2 linked regions of the Mytilus edulis genome follow. The protein of the gene in region 1 interacts with the protein of each later gene in a biochemical or structural test. Links are inferred from orthologs where the notes say so. Each region holds a gene or a part of one and is shown on either strand. Other genes may lie near its edges.

Evidence for each region. The genes of interacting proteins can lie anywhere in the genome.
Region 2: the proteins of protein TRC8 homolog (region 1) and COP9 signalosome complex subunit 5 form a complex in vitro, tested with the Drosophila melanogaster proteins (2 studies listed by BioGRID). The link is inferred for Mytilus edulis from reciprocal best matches to the Drosophila melanogaster genes Trc8 and CSN5.

What each region holds. Positions count from the first base shown.
Region 1 is NC_092347.1:69,540,590-69,547,591, reverse strand, and holds the start of protein TRC8 homolog, read left to right. Parts: upstream 1-3,995; 5' UTR 3,996-4,041; coding exon 4,042-4,231; intron 4,232-7,002. Other genes in the region: RING finger protein 145-like, read right to left, coding at 120-288. UniProt on the Drosophila melanogaster protein: Plays a role in growth inhibition that is dependent upon COP9 signalosome subunits CSN5 and CSN6. May modulate signalosome levels or compartmentalization. Probably functions in the same or a related pathway to VHL during early midline development.
Region 2 is NC_092344.1:10,559,491-10,567,239, reverse strand, and holds the start of COP9 signalosome complex subunit 5, read right to left. Parts: upstream 3,018-7,749; 5' UTR 2,907-3,017; coding exon 2,773-2,906; intron 1-2,772. Other genes in the region: brefeldin A-inhibited guanine nucleotide-exchange protein 1-like, read left to right, coding at 7,225-7,348. UniProt on the Drosophila melanogaster protein: Probable protease subunit of the COP9 signalosome complex (CSN), a complex involved in various cellular and developmental processes.

The sequences.
Region 1 (7,002 bases):
AACTTAAAAAAATACCAACCAATAAAACAACTGGGGAAGAACAATATCATATGAAAGTAAAATAAATGATATGCTTTCTAGCTTAAGGGTTGCATCAAGCTGGTATTTTAAATACTTACTTAGATAATAAATAACTGTGATGATAAAAGTAACATCATCAGGTTGATTTGTCAAATTTTCTGGACTATTTCTGAACCATAACTCTGCCAAAACCAACGATGGAATCCTCAGAATAACTCCAACTACAGCCTCAACTTGTTCTCTCTGAACCTTCACCTGCCACATCATCAAATCTAGAATAAAATAACTAAGTTAAATAGTTACATTTGTTACCTTATATCTTACTTATAAGCATGATAAGGTCTTGTATTTACAAAATTATTTCAGTTGTTTTTTTTGTTAAACAGGCTTATCGTGTGATAAAATTTGAATAAGGACAATAAATTATTAATTACAAATGTCACTTATTCAAGTAGAGAATAAGAGGGACTGTATCAAGTTTTAACAAGTATGTAGCAAAATATTCATTTTTTTATTATGGGTAATACGGATACAACTAGAGGCTCCAAAGAGCCTGTGTCGCTCACCTTGGTCTATGTGAATATTAAACAAAGGACGCAGATGGATTCATGACAAAATTGTGTTTTGGTGATGGTGATGTGTTTGTAAATCTTACTTTACTGAACATTCTTGCTGCTTACAATTATCTCTATCTATAATGAACTTGGCCCAGTAGTTTCAGAGGAGAAGATTTTTGTAAAAGATAACTAAGATTTACGAAAAATGGTTCAAAATTGACTATAAAGGGCAATAACTCCTAAAGGGGTCAACTGACCATTTCAGTCATGTTGACTTATTTGTAAATCTTACTTTGCTGAACATTATTGCTGTTTACAGTTTATCTCTATCTATAATAATATTCAAGATAATAACCAAAAACAGCAAAATTTCCTTAAAATTACCAATTCAGGGGCAGCAACCCAATAACAGGTCGTCCGATTCATCTGAAAATTTCAGGGCAGATAGATCTTGACCTGATAAACAATTTTACCCCATGTCAGATTTGCTCTAAATGCTTTGATTTTTGAGTTATAAGCCAAAAACTGAATTTTACCCCTATGTTCTATTTTTAGCCGTGGCGGCCATCTTGGTTGGTTGACCGGGTCACGCCACACATTTTTTAAACTAGATACCCCAATGATGATTGTGGCCAAGTTTGGTTTAATTTGGCACAGTGGTTTCAGAGGAGAAGATTTTTGTAATAGATTACTAAGATTTACAAAAAATGGTTAAAAATTGACTATAAAGGGCAATAACTCCTAAAGGGGTCAACTGACCATTTCAGTCATGTTGACTTATTTGTAAATCTTACTTTGCTGAACATTATTGCTGTTTACAGTTTATCTCTATCTATAATAATATTCAAGATAAATAACCAAAAACAGCAAAATTTCCTTAAAATTACCAATTCAGGGGCAGCAACCCAACAACAGGTTGTCCGATTCATCTGTAAATTTCAGGGCAGATAGATCTTGACCTGATAATCATTTTTACCCCGTCAGATTTGCTCTAAATGCTTTGGTTTTTGAGTTATAAGCCAAAAACTGAATTTTACCCCTATGTTCTATTTTTAGCTGTGGCGGCCATCTTGGTTGGTTGGCCGGGTCACGCCACACATTTTTTAAACTAGATACCCCAATTGTGATTGTGGCCAAGTATGGTTTAATTTGGCCCAGTAGTTTCAGAGAAGAAGATTTTTGTAAAAGATTACTAAGATTTACGAAAAATGGTTAAAAATTGACTATAAAGGGCAATAACTCCTAAAGGGGTCAACTGACCTTTTCGGTCATGTTGACTTATTTGTAAATCTTACTTTGCTGAACATTATTGCTGTTTACAGTTTATCTCTATCTATAATAATATTCAAGATAATAACCAAAAACTGCAAAATTTCCTTAAAATTACCAATTCAGGGGCAGCAACCCAACAACAGGTCGTCCGATTCATCTGAAAATTTCAGGGCAGATAGATCTTGACCTGATAAACAATTTTACCCCATGTCAGATTTGCTCTAAATGCTTTGGTTTTTGAGTTATAAGCCAAAAACTGCATTTTACCCCTATGTTCTATTTTTAGCCATGGCGGCCATCTTGGTTGGTTGGCCGGGTCACGCCACACATTTTTTAAACTAGATACCCCAATGATGATTGTGGCCAAGTTTGGTTTAATTTGGCCCAGTAGTTTCAGAGGAGAAGATTTTTGTAAAAGTTAACGACGACGGACGACGACGACGGACGACGGACGACGGACGACAGACGACGACGACGGACGCCGGACGCAAAGTGATGGGAAAAGCTCACTTGGCCCTTCGGGCCAGGTGAGCTAAAAATAAAAGTCAACACTGCAGTCCTTAATAATTTTCAATATTATTAATTGGAGTGTTTCATTTTGATTTGTTGTTTTTTTGTGTCAATACTGATTAAGGACCACATCTTTTTTTTTAATCAACAGGGAGGATACATGTTGTCATGCTTACAATATTTTCAATTTACTCTTTTAAGCTAGATCCTATAGTTTTTGAAACAAAAGTAAATGTAAAAACTTTAAAAACTTTAAAAATTCAGGGGCAATAACTCCAAAATAGGTGTTAATATTTCAAAATTATTCATGGTAGATTATAATATTAGAACTTGTGGTAATGTGCTTAACAGTACTATTTCTCGAATTGTTTTAATTCGTAAATATTAGCCTAGACTATTCTTTGGCCCTATGACAGTCATCTGATGATGTTCATGTTGGTTCATCAAAAATCACAAACTAAGAAGAAGCAGAAAAACTCTGGTTTAAATCCATTGAAGTTTCAGAGAAGACTATTAAAGAAAAGTTTATGTATGACAAAAGGATGCAAAGTAATGGCAACAGGTTAACTTGCTCAAAAAAGATAACAGAAATATCAATCAAAATAATTTGACAAAACTAAGACCCCACCTGCTACCAGGAAAAATTTAAATAATAACAGTTGCAAAAATAGAATGGGTAGTTTCTGCAATGTATGTTGATAGGTATGAAGGATGGGAAATTTGAACTCTATATGGTAATGCACTTAAATGCAGTTTTCAAAAGTGGAAGCTAGGTCATATGAGTTCAGTGGACCGTGAAATTCGGGTAAAATCTCTAATTTGGCATTAAAATTAGAAAGATCATATCATAGGGAACATGTGTGCCAAGTTTGAAGTCAATTGGACTTCAACTTCATCAAAAACTACCTTGACCAAAAACTTTAACCTGAAGCGGGACAGACGGACGAACGGACGGACGAACGGACAGACGAACAGACGCACAGACCAGAAAACATAATGCCCCTCTACTATCGTAGGTGGGGCATAAAAATATCATAACGACCTATAAGGAGCTATCAGGATCACAGCTACCCCAGCATAAAATTGTTTAGTCACAATAGTTATGAAGGTGTCACAGACAAAAAATAAAATAGCCTTTCAAAATTATTTGGGCTTAGAAAAGTTAAGAATAAATTCAACATTGATTATAAAAGAGAAGTTATTGGGTCTTCCAGGAATATAGGACTAAATCCATGGGGACAATGCCAGCTGTCAGCTAGTTTCAACATTTTACAAGCACTGTCATTTTGGTATTTGATATGAAACAAAATCATATGATATAATGTAGGAATTTTAAACTATTTACTGTTGTTATATTATGGCCTAAGGATACTTTCAGGTGGTTGAAATTCTGCTGTCTGCTTTGATCTATAATTTACATTAATATACAAAACAAATGACGGATGAGGACCTGTTTATCTTTTGTATTCATTTTTTATTCTAACCTCAATTTTGTAAAACAAACTAATCTTCTTTTAAAAATTAACATTGATAAACAACTGTTTCATCTTAAGAACATAGTGAGTGATCTGATTTGATTACAAGCAGCCTGGATTAATAAATAGTGTTGTCTTCTAAGTGCTGCAAATCATCACTACAACGAGCAAGAAAACACCGGAAGTTAATATTTGACAGATCGATCATGTCGTATTTCGGAAAATTTAAACATTTTTCCAATGTTTTGATACGAATACCACCTCTATTTATTATTGATAGTTTGTTGAATGGTTCATTGTTGAAAGTTGTATACCAGAGTGTTCATCCAGAGTATAGTTTGTATCCAATAACCACATGGACACAGTTGTTTCAATGGCTAGCTACGTCTTTCACCAGTGCGTACAACTTGATACTGTTATACAATGTTTATACAGTTGCAATACAATGTCAACTAGTTATCTATTGTTTGTTTTTTTTTTTTTTTTTAAAGATATTTTCATACATCCCTTGTTTCTTTTGAAAATACTTCAAGGAAAAAATCACTTTGGAGATAAGTAAACATCTTTTAAAAATATGTTCAAGTTTAAAAGCTTTCTTTCAAGGCAGTGTCTGTGGGTAAGAATAGTCAAATTGCCATTCGTAGTCTATGCATACCCACATCCGGTGTTATAATAAAATACCATCGGATCGGAAATGAAATGTGCACAATAATTTTCAATAATATGGGGATTTCATGTACAACGAGTGAAGTGAATGAAAAATAATATTTTCAAATTGTATTTATTAGATAATAATACACAATAAACATTGCAAATTAAATGTACACTGAAGAAAAATGAAACTATACAGTCCCTGTAAAAGAAAAACATGATAAAAATTAATACATGTACATGTAATACTAGTATAAAACATGTAAAATGTAATTGCAAATTTAAAGAATTAAATTTTACTGGATTTAGAAAATATCCATATGAGATTTTAAAATAATCTTTAAGTAAAAATGTAAAACAAAAATGGAAATTTAAAAACTACTTAAATTAAAGCTTGGATGTCTATATAAAAATTAAAGAAGCAAGCAATAATATTTAATAATGTCAAATTAAACCAATTTTGTCCATCTTTAAATTAGTCACGCCAAGTCTAAAGTAGTCCGTGCCTAATTTCAATGTTTGTAGTTTGATATCTATTTATATATTGAGCAGTTATCTCATCTTATTAAAAACATTTATCATTTATATGTTTTGTAGTTTAGTGTGATTTTCCATTTTCTTTGAACTACTCAACTAGTACACATTTTGTCATGGGCCAGGCGAATCCTGCCTCTGTGTGTAGGATTTTCTTGCTGTGTTGAAGACCCATTGGTGGCCTTGGTTGCTTTCTGCTCTTTGGTTGAGTTGTTGTCTCTTTGACATATTCCCCATTTGATTTTCTATTCTCAATTTTATTTAAAACAAAGAAATACATAATAAAAGCAAGTCGTTACATAACATGATTAAATATAAGCATTCATGAAAGTAAATACAATATAAATGACATTATAAAGTTCACTTTGTATTTCTATGCTCAAATATTAGATTAGAAAAGTAAGCAATCATAGGTTGTATACAAAATGTATATATTTCAGTTATTTATGTTGAACATCTTCTTGCCTTTTAATCCAATCAGGAATGGTGTTTATTTAAGGTGGTTCATTGCATGGTTATATTACATGTATATATATAGATTTCCTCGATAATAGTTCTTCTTCTTCACCAGATTGTATATTTTTCGCATTTCCATGATTTTTTCAAAAATGTTATTAAAAGAATGGGTCATGTCCTGTTTTTCAAGCTACAAATCTTTTAAAGTTGCCCAAATTTGCAAAGATTGTTTGTGACAAAACACTTGTTTTGTTAATTGAAAGAAAGTTGTGAGATAAAATTTTGGAAATAACTTATAACTTGATAGGTTTTAAAATATATGCTTTAAGAAAATAAAAAGAAAAAATAGTGTCACCTTTTTTTCTTGCTAAAAGAAAAAAATGAAAATTTCTCCAACATTCACTGTCATTCCTTGATTAAAAAAATATTCAACATTTGAGTTATCTCCCCATAAAAGGCTAAGTTGACAATTTGTATAGAACAAACACAAACATTTGGTATTTGATTAGATCAATCTATATACATTGTAATGCAATAATTATAAATTACTTGTTTTTCTTTAATCAAAATATTAAAATGTTCTCTTTCTTAATTTTTTCTCCCTCAGCTGCTTAATCATGTTAATGGTGACCTCTATTTTTGTCACACTTGCAACACACAGAAAGCTGTCTAAGTAACTGTTATTCTGAATTGATTATAAGCAATAAGGTGTGTACGGTTCCTGTCTCATTAATGTATAGGCCATGTCTTCTTTTATTCAGATTTACTAAAAACACCATCAACTCTGTCTTTGACAACTAATTTTGAAAAAGATATAAAGGAGTACTACAATAATAGGACTAATTTAGTTTTTGAACAGCCACATTTGTGCTTGCGTGCATGTACCTGATAGGGTTCATCTGATCGTGACCTTATTTACAAACATTAATGATAATGTATTTAGTATATATATACTAGAACACACCTGTGATATCGCGGGTCCGTGGATGAATTAAAGTATATATCTATGCGTAAGCCTTATTTTAGTATTGGTATTGTCATCTGATAAAGTCATGTCAATTATAAGATACACAGTTTTCTCTGCTTTCAAAATCTTTGTTTGAACCCGTCAACCTGGAACTTATCAATTATTGGTAATATTAATTATTTGGAAAACAAAAGGTCCTGGAATGGAGTATTTTTTAATCAACAGTATTGTCCTATATTAGTTATAAATAAGGTTGAGTTCTTTTATTCGCTGTTTTACATCATGCCCGTTCAAAAATTGAAAACTGTACCTATATATACGCATTATCATAAAAGTCCAGATTTTTAGTATTCATATTGTTATGTAAGAAAGTCTTACTGATTAAAATACTACAATAGGGAACAATTTGACAATGATTGAATTTAGAAGGGTCAACCCTGTGATTATGACCCGTGTATAAAGCAAATCCTAAATACATCGTTTGGTGGTGCGCCTTTCAGATGCGGAACGTACAGATAAGATAAGGTAATAGGTAACAGGTGAATATACTATTCGTATC
Region 2 (7,749 bases), on another chromosome or scaffold:
CTGTTAAAAAATAAATTTCAACTGAGCAGAGAGAGAGTGTTGTTTTCTTCTGTGTCTATATCTAGTCTGTCATTTTTTTAATTTTTACTTACACCATTTTAGTTGTTTTCTAGTTTTAGCATTTTTTGTAAGACAAGGTAAGTATGAACGTATCGGAGGTTAGTGTTGTATAAAGTCATCTTAAAAATTGTATTAGAGAAAAACACAAGATTTAAATCCAGGCTCATGTGAAATGGGTTACGTTTACCACCATAGCAAACTGATTTATACGTATTATTCTGTATATATATACCAATTTTAAGGTCTGAATTAATATAGTGTTTAAAAAATAATTCAAATAAGTAGTTTTCACAACTTATTTAGTAATAAATTTAAACTAATGAAATGTTATGCTGTATAATATTTTAGTTTCATAATACAGCTTTCCAGGAAAAACCCTATTATTTATGTTTTGAATCACTTGTATGTATTTTTTATGCTTGTATTAATCCACACCCCCATCTTTGTTACGGAGGTTGATATCAAACCAGTATCTGAATGCTGATACATAGTAACACTTAACTCTTTAATGCTAGCTTTTCTAAACAATTTATTGACATTTCAAACTAAAAAAACTGTTTTCTATCAAGTTATATGTTTCTTTTAGTCAAATGAACTTGTTCTTGTCAAAATCTCCGTAACGATTCATGAACTTTCACTCAAAAATATGTTTTACCTAAACCGAATATTTTTCAACTTAATTTATTAGCTCTATACAGATAATGTCATCTTCCTTCACACCATAATGTATGTATTATACTCAACTATGAAGTTTTGGAGTCAAAATAGTTTCATTTCGAAAATTTCTATCCTCCGTAACGACATTTAAAACCTCCATAACGGACAATTCCAGTTCTTACCAACAGCAAACATATAAATGAATGTAAATATTGGAATTAAATGACAAACAAGACAACAGAATTAAACATTTTTCTTAGTAAATCGTTATCTAAAAAGAGAAAAGTCCTGTTAGAGAAAAAAAACTTTTTTTCCTTAAATTTCTATCCTCCGTAACGTAAATCAATGATGTCGTAGATATGATTGACATCACCTTTTGATATTTATTAGTGATAATTGATGAACTGATTTGGTATCTATAACAATGTAGAAGAATTTCAATTGGTATGATCGTGTTTACATGCATCTTTAGATTTTTTTATTTGCATAACCTCCGTTACATTGATGAGTCCTAAATAATCTTGAAAATGTTTGCCATAAACCGCTGTTAAAGTTATGATTGTCGTCGTAATTACACAAATTGTGTTGTAGACTATTTTAAATCTAAGAAAATGGCTGATATAACGTTTATTAAACGTTATAATGTTGTTCACATAATAGGGAAAAAACAAGTTAACCTACCTTTCTCAAAACAACATTTTTTTTCTCAAAATCTGTATTTTGTTTGTCTGTTTTCTTTATAATAAATGATGTCTGCTACAAAAATGACTTTCGGCAGTGTCGGCAGCCGCTGATACTGATAAAAAAGTCTGACAACTTAACTGTAAATAACTGCGTCACGGAGGTTATTTAAACGGAGGTTAGTTTTATTTACATTATACATGGAAATATGTAACAATATTGTTGAGTTGCTTTCTCAAAACTGATTATTGAGAAGCTTTATGGGTGCTTTCAATGAAATAATCATCATTTTGATTTGTTCTTGGTAAGTGCGTTCCAAAATACGCGTTACGTAGGTTGGATTCTTATATGCGACAATCGAAAAAAAGAGAAAGAGAAGATTTTTTTTAATTTTTCGTTTCATTGCACTAAAAGTTAAAGGCAGGATTTTAAAATTTGATGTATCAACTTTGCTTAAAGTCACTTTGGGCATGATTTCCAATCATATAAATATGTTTTGACTGTACCTAAAGATTCGTTACGGTAGGTTATACGTTTATCGGCGACATTGGTTTAATGGGTAAATCAAAGTGTATATTATAACTTTTGATTCTAAAATATTTTTGTGGATAAAAATCAATATAGTGTCAAATAAAAAAAGCAAATCTAATCATGATTTAGATGAAATAAAGTATTTTAATTCACACCGATATTTGGAGTTTTTCTTGGCGACATTCGGAATTCGTGTGATTTCCGTATATTGAATAGAAAATCACACAAATATATTTCTGATATACATCACAAAAGAATATGATTTTATTTTAGTATACATATTAATCACTTAGAACACGAAAAAGATTATCTGTGACATATGTTAAGCTTGCATTTTGTGGTTATTTGCCGGCGACACTGAAATTTTGTAATTGTACCCATTTTTTGGGAATGACTGCTTAACACTATAATACACCTTAATACAAACATATCATTGTTTGTGAGTGAATTGGTCAAGTTTATACACCAATAAATTCCTTTAAAAAGGCGTTTAATCCTGATAATAGTTTAAGTGTCACCAATATTCTCAGGTCAAGTGTCGCAGATTCCCGAAAAAAAACCCATAAGGTCCATTCTGTTATGCAGTCTATATATACATGATATATATAGAGTGTAAGGAAAATAAGACACTAGCAAGTTTTTAGGAAGCTTTATGATTTTCATTCAAAGTATGGTTTTATCATGTTTATATATATCTAAAATCAAATTATTCTGAAATTGAAAAAGAGATGAATATCAGCATGTTTATGATTAAATCTGCATTGTTCATCACTAAAATTTCCACAGTTTAATAAACTATTACTGGCTGACTTGAAGAATTTTTAACAGACTATTGACAATTACTCTTTATCCCATGGCTTTGCTGTAAGAATATCTTGTTGTTGTCTCTTGTCGTATCTGTATATTTCGTCCATACTGTTAACGTTCTCAACATTGTTTGACATTTCCCAAGTTTTAAATGCATTTTTCGCATCCATGATTATTTTTTTTAAGATTCTTGATTCTGGATTCTGATGTCAATTCAGAAACAAGGAACCATACAAAAGTCACAACATACTGGTTCAAAATTGTATATTTCTGATTTCCGTACGTTATACGGTATGTGAATTAATGTCTATTGAGATTGTTTTCTTATGATACCATTTAAGATAAAGTTAAACTACCATTATTTCAAACAACAAATCGCCACAACGAAATATAACAAAAGAATGTGTCATTCTGAATTAATTTGACAGTTAATCCCTTCGTAAAGTTTGGACAATCACATCACATGGGTATAAAAGATAAAGATATTTTATTTCCTAATCATAGGGCTCATAACAAGCATGTAATCATATACAGTAAAAATAAAAAGCCTTTCTCTCCCACTCGCATAGTGTTACACTCACACATACAACCATTTTATTTGTGCTTTTGTGTTTTTATCTCATAATTGCATGTATCAGTATGTGTTTAACTTATAAGATGCTTAACAAACTTTTGTGCTGCATGTTTATATACTGATATGAACTCTTGCTTTATATGTTTAATGTTTGTGTGCATGACTCGATATGTATGTTTTGTTTTACTTGTTGTTATGTCGGTTTTAAAAGCTCTTCAGATCTTTATTGTAATTGCTTGCTTATACCGACTCTAAATAAAGCTTTATGTCGTATGTCTAACTATCGTTCTGATTAAGGATGATTGATTTAACAGTACAACATGTAAATGAAAAATAAAATACAGATAAAAATACAGACACAAATGTATTTTTATTTTTTTTATGAGGAGTGTCAGTTGCCTACATTGTATATAAGATAAGATAAGATAAGAATTTTATTAATCTAATCAAGAACCCATAAAGGGCATCATTTTACAACACAATATGATTGGAAAAAGCAAAACAGAAAACTAATACCATACTATAACGTTATTGACAGGATCAGAGCCTGACACAACATGTGTCTTATATAACTATTATATTAAATGTTATAACAATAAAATATTATATTATTTCATATATTTTGTTTACATCTGGATCTTATTTCTAAACCTTTAATAATGTAATTTCCTAGGCACGTGAGAGTTAGTATATATAAAGTTATTGCTAATAGAGTCTGTATATAAATAAATTTGGTGTTTTTACTGTCTTCTGATTGGTTAAAATTATTAGTTTTATTTTCAATGTTGTCAATTTTCATGGTGACACGCCCACTCTGACATTGTGTATTCATACGCCATGTGTGTACGTTGTTATTGTTAATATAAAGAGTTCTTTGAGCCTAATTTTTTTTTATAGAAATTTATTTATAATGAATGGCAATAATTTATTTTGATTTTATTGAACCATAAAACTAATTTTTGACTCTTCACATTTTACATAATCCGCTTCGCGGATTATTCAATGTGAAGAGTCAAAAATTAGTTTTATGGTTCAATAAATTCAAAATGGATAATAGCCATTCATTAAATAATATCTGATTTGTACAAATTATAAACTTAAACTTTAATTAGTTTTCGAGTTTTGTCAAGAGCATAATACATTGGAACCAACTGAAAGACAATATTGTATGCGCAAATCGAGGCCCAAATACGGTTGAGAGATTCACGGCGGCAGCTCTCAAACACCGTCAACATGGTCAATAGGTCTCTCTTGTCTGTTGAATAAAAGCCAGAATTATCCGGTTCCTTACCTGGAAGAAGAAGAAGAACCTCATCTAGACCCTTATATATATCTTTATAAAAAATTTACTCCGGATTTCTCCGGATAACTAGGAAACCCAACTTAAGCAAATCAATACTTTATTACACATGTTACAACAAATATCTTTGATGAGTTTTTATTTCAGTCAAACATACTCTGACCATTAACATTTGTCCATGTGAAATGACATGAGCCAGTCTTTCTCCCATTTTATAGCTGTTACTTTCACGGTCTTCCTGAAGCTTTATTCAATCGTTTTGGCAAGTAATAGGCCGGTAAATAATCCTGTCATCTGCTTAGAGTCTTATCTGGCTGTGTTTTATGTAGTCAGGTAAGTCGTTAATACAAATGAGAATAATGTATTGGATTTTTTTTCAGATGTTGAGTTTTTGAGTAACTAACTAACTAACTAACTAATTTTATTCAGTATAAAATCCAGTACAAAAGGATCATCGGCTGAAACACATGAACACATATAAAAACATATACAAAACAAAACAACAATAAAACATAACAGCCAACAATTTTGACACTTATAATAAGCAAGAGACAAAACTCACACTTCAATATTATGAAATTATTCCCACTGAAGAATATCTAATCAAAATACATTCCCCATTTCCATTCTCAATTTTAGTCTATATATATAAGAAATCTGTTGAGAACACCAGTCTCCGAACAGTTCATTAAATATTTAAATTTATCAAAATTATCTAAATTACAAAAACATGGTATGATATTGACAATGTCATCATAAAACCTTTCTCTCTCGTCTTGATAGAGGTTGCATTCACATATAAAATGAAACTCATCTTCAATTTTGTTATCAATACAATGTTTACATATTCTTTGATCCAAAGGTGTATCATTATATCTGCCTTTTTCAATGTGTAAATTGTGGTTAGAAATTCTTAATTTTACATAATTGTCTAATATATAGTTTCGAGATATTTAACTTTGTATAAGTCTCAGGTTTATATTCCTTTTTAACTTGTAATATGTGCGTAGTTTGTTTTGCTTTTCACCTGACAAACATGAGAAAAAATAATTGCCATATCTTTCTTGTAATATCGTTTTCACTGCAGATATGAGTTTTCCTTCTGACATAGTTCCTTTATTATTCCAAACATGGTCAAAACGAATGAATTTTAGAAACTGAAAAATGTGTTTATTTAAGGTACATGGAAAGGTACAATCAACATCTTCGATTGACTTATATGCTAATTTTGAAAAATTCAAAAGAGGGTCTTTATACAAATATAGCCAGTATTTAAGAGACTGCAAAATAACAAATATAGAGATTGGATAACGACCAAGTTCTGCCATACTGGCAATATTAGAAGCATATTTAGTGACTGTTTGAGAAATGATTTAATCCATTGAGTTGGTTGATCTGAAATGTCGTATTATAGTGTTTAATCTGTAAAGTAAGTGTGTGTGTGGCACTTTATCAAATGCTTTGAAAAAATCCACAATTACTAGATTAGTTTGTATATTTCTATCATTGTTTTGAGCTAGTTTGGTGTATAAGAGATATTAATTATGATTCACATGATCTTTTTGCTCTGGGTCCGTGTTGTAGTTCATTTAGTATTTTATTTGTTTCAAGACGGTGTTTCATCATGTTACTAGCTAGTATTAGTTCAAGTTATTTACATGAAATGCAGGCAGGTGGTTACCCCTAGATATTTTGTTGTTGTTACATGTTCTAAAGAATGACTGTAGAATAATGACTGTTTTTTTGTCACGGTTTTTTTTAATTTCTGGTTACTGAAATAACATTACATTTGTCTGGGTGGAATGCCATTTTCCACGTAGTTTCCCATGATGTCAATTTGTCAAGATCTTTTTGTAATAGAGATGCATCAGAATTTCATTTCCAATTTAACTATGGTGTCATCTGCAAATAACCGCACTGTAAGACCAGTTGGGATATCGTTTATGTAGTGCAGGAAAAGACCGTGTCCAAGATCTGACCCCTGTGACTCGACTATGTCTCTGCCTGGAACAAATTTTGTTTTAACTGACTTCACACATCATGATGGTAAGTATCGGTGCAAATTATGTGAAAGTTCTTTTTTAAGTCTTGGTTTAAACAGAGACATATATACATGTGTATATATGTCTCTGGTTTAAATTATTTATGATCTGGTCCTGCTACTTTGATTTAACAAGGATTTGTATAGTAAGTCTTACTATACAAATCCTTGGATTTAAGTTTTTGTTTAAGTTTTAGTACACCTTCTGTTTTATGAATAATTTTGATGCAGTGATAGAATCTTTATATTCTCTCTCTCGTGCCGTTTTTACAAATAGTTTGAAACGTATCCGGTGGGATTTTCATTTAAAAAAAATAACATTAGTTGTTGTATGTTGTCCTTTATATGTGTTTTATGTTATTAGACATTCCTTATATAGTTCTGTACGGACATATTCTGTAAATAACTTAATCTATTTTGGACTGAAAAGGGTACCAGAATATATCGTCGGCATTTGGTCACGTGATTTGAATGGTGGACAACTGTTACAGGTGTTCCGTATTCCAACGAAACATTTGTTCATCAACAGAAATAACTTAACCTTTCTATTTGATATGTCGATTGATTGGCATAATGCGTAAAGGCAACAGGCCAAACGAAATGTTCCTTACAAGAGCTCTCGAGAAAATCTTGAGCGACAAAGAAATAAAAAAAGCTCATCACTCCCAACTGAAAAAAGCCTGTGAGGTGGCACTAGGTAAGTGAATCACATCATGAATTCTATTTCGGGTCATTTAACGTCTACGATGCTTATTTGTTATGATGGTTGAAAAAAAATTATCCGTAATTTTATGCATAGCAAAGGTTTTATAGTCTGTCTGATGAGTGATGTCTGATGACAGATGTGAGTGTACAAAAAAAATGTATACACTACAGGCAAATTTTGTTTTGAACCCAGTATTTCTGACCAATTGAAGAAAATTTACCAAAATGATATCCCATAAATACCATTTATTTTTTATTTGAGGCAGGTGCTACCTAATAAGTCATAGGATTTTACTTGTCTGTGACATCATCATGTACTTCTGATCATGTTGATCAATAGGTCATATCTGGAATCATGTCTTTCACCGGAAAAGATCGTCAATTTCGAACACC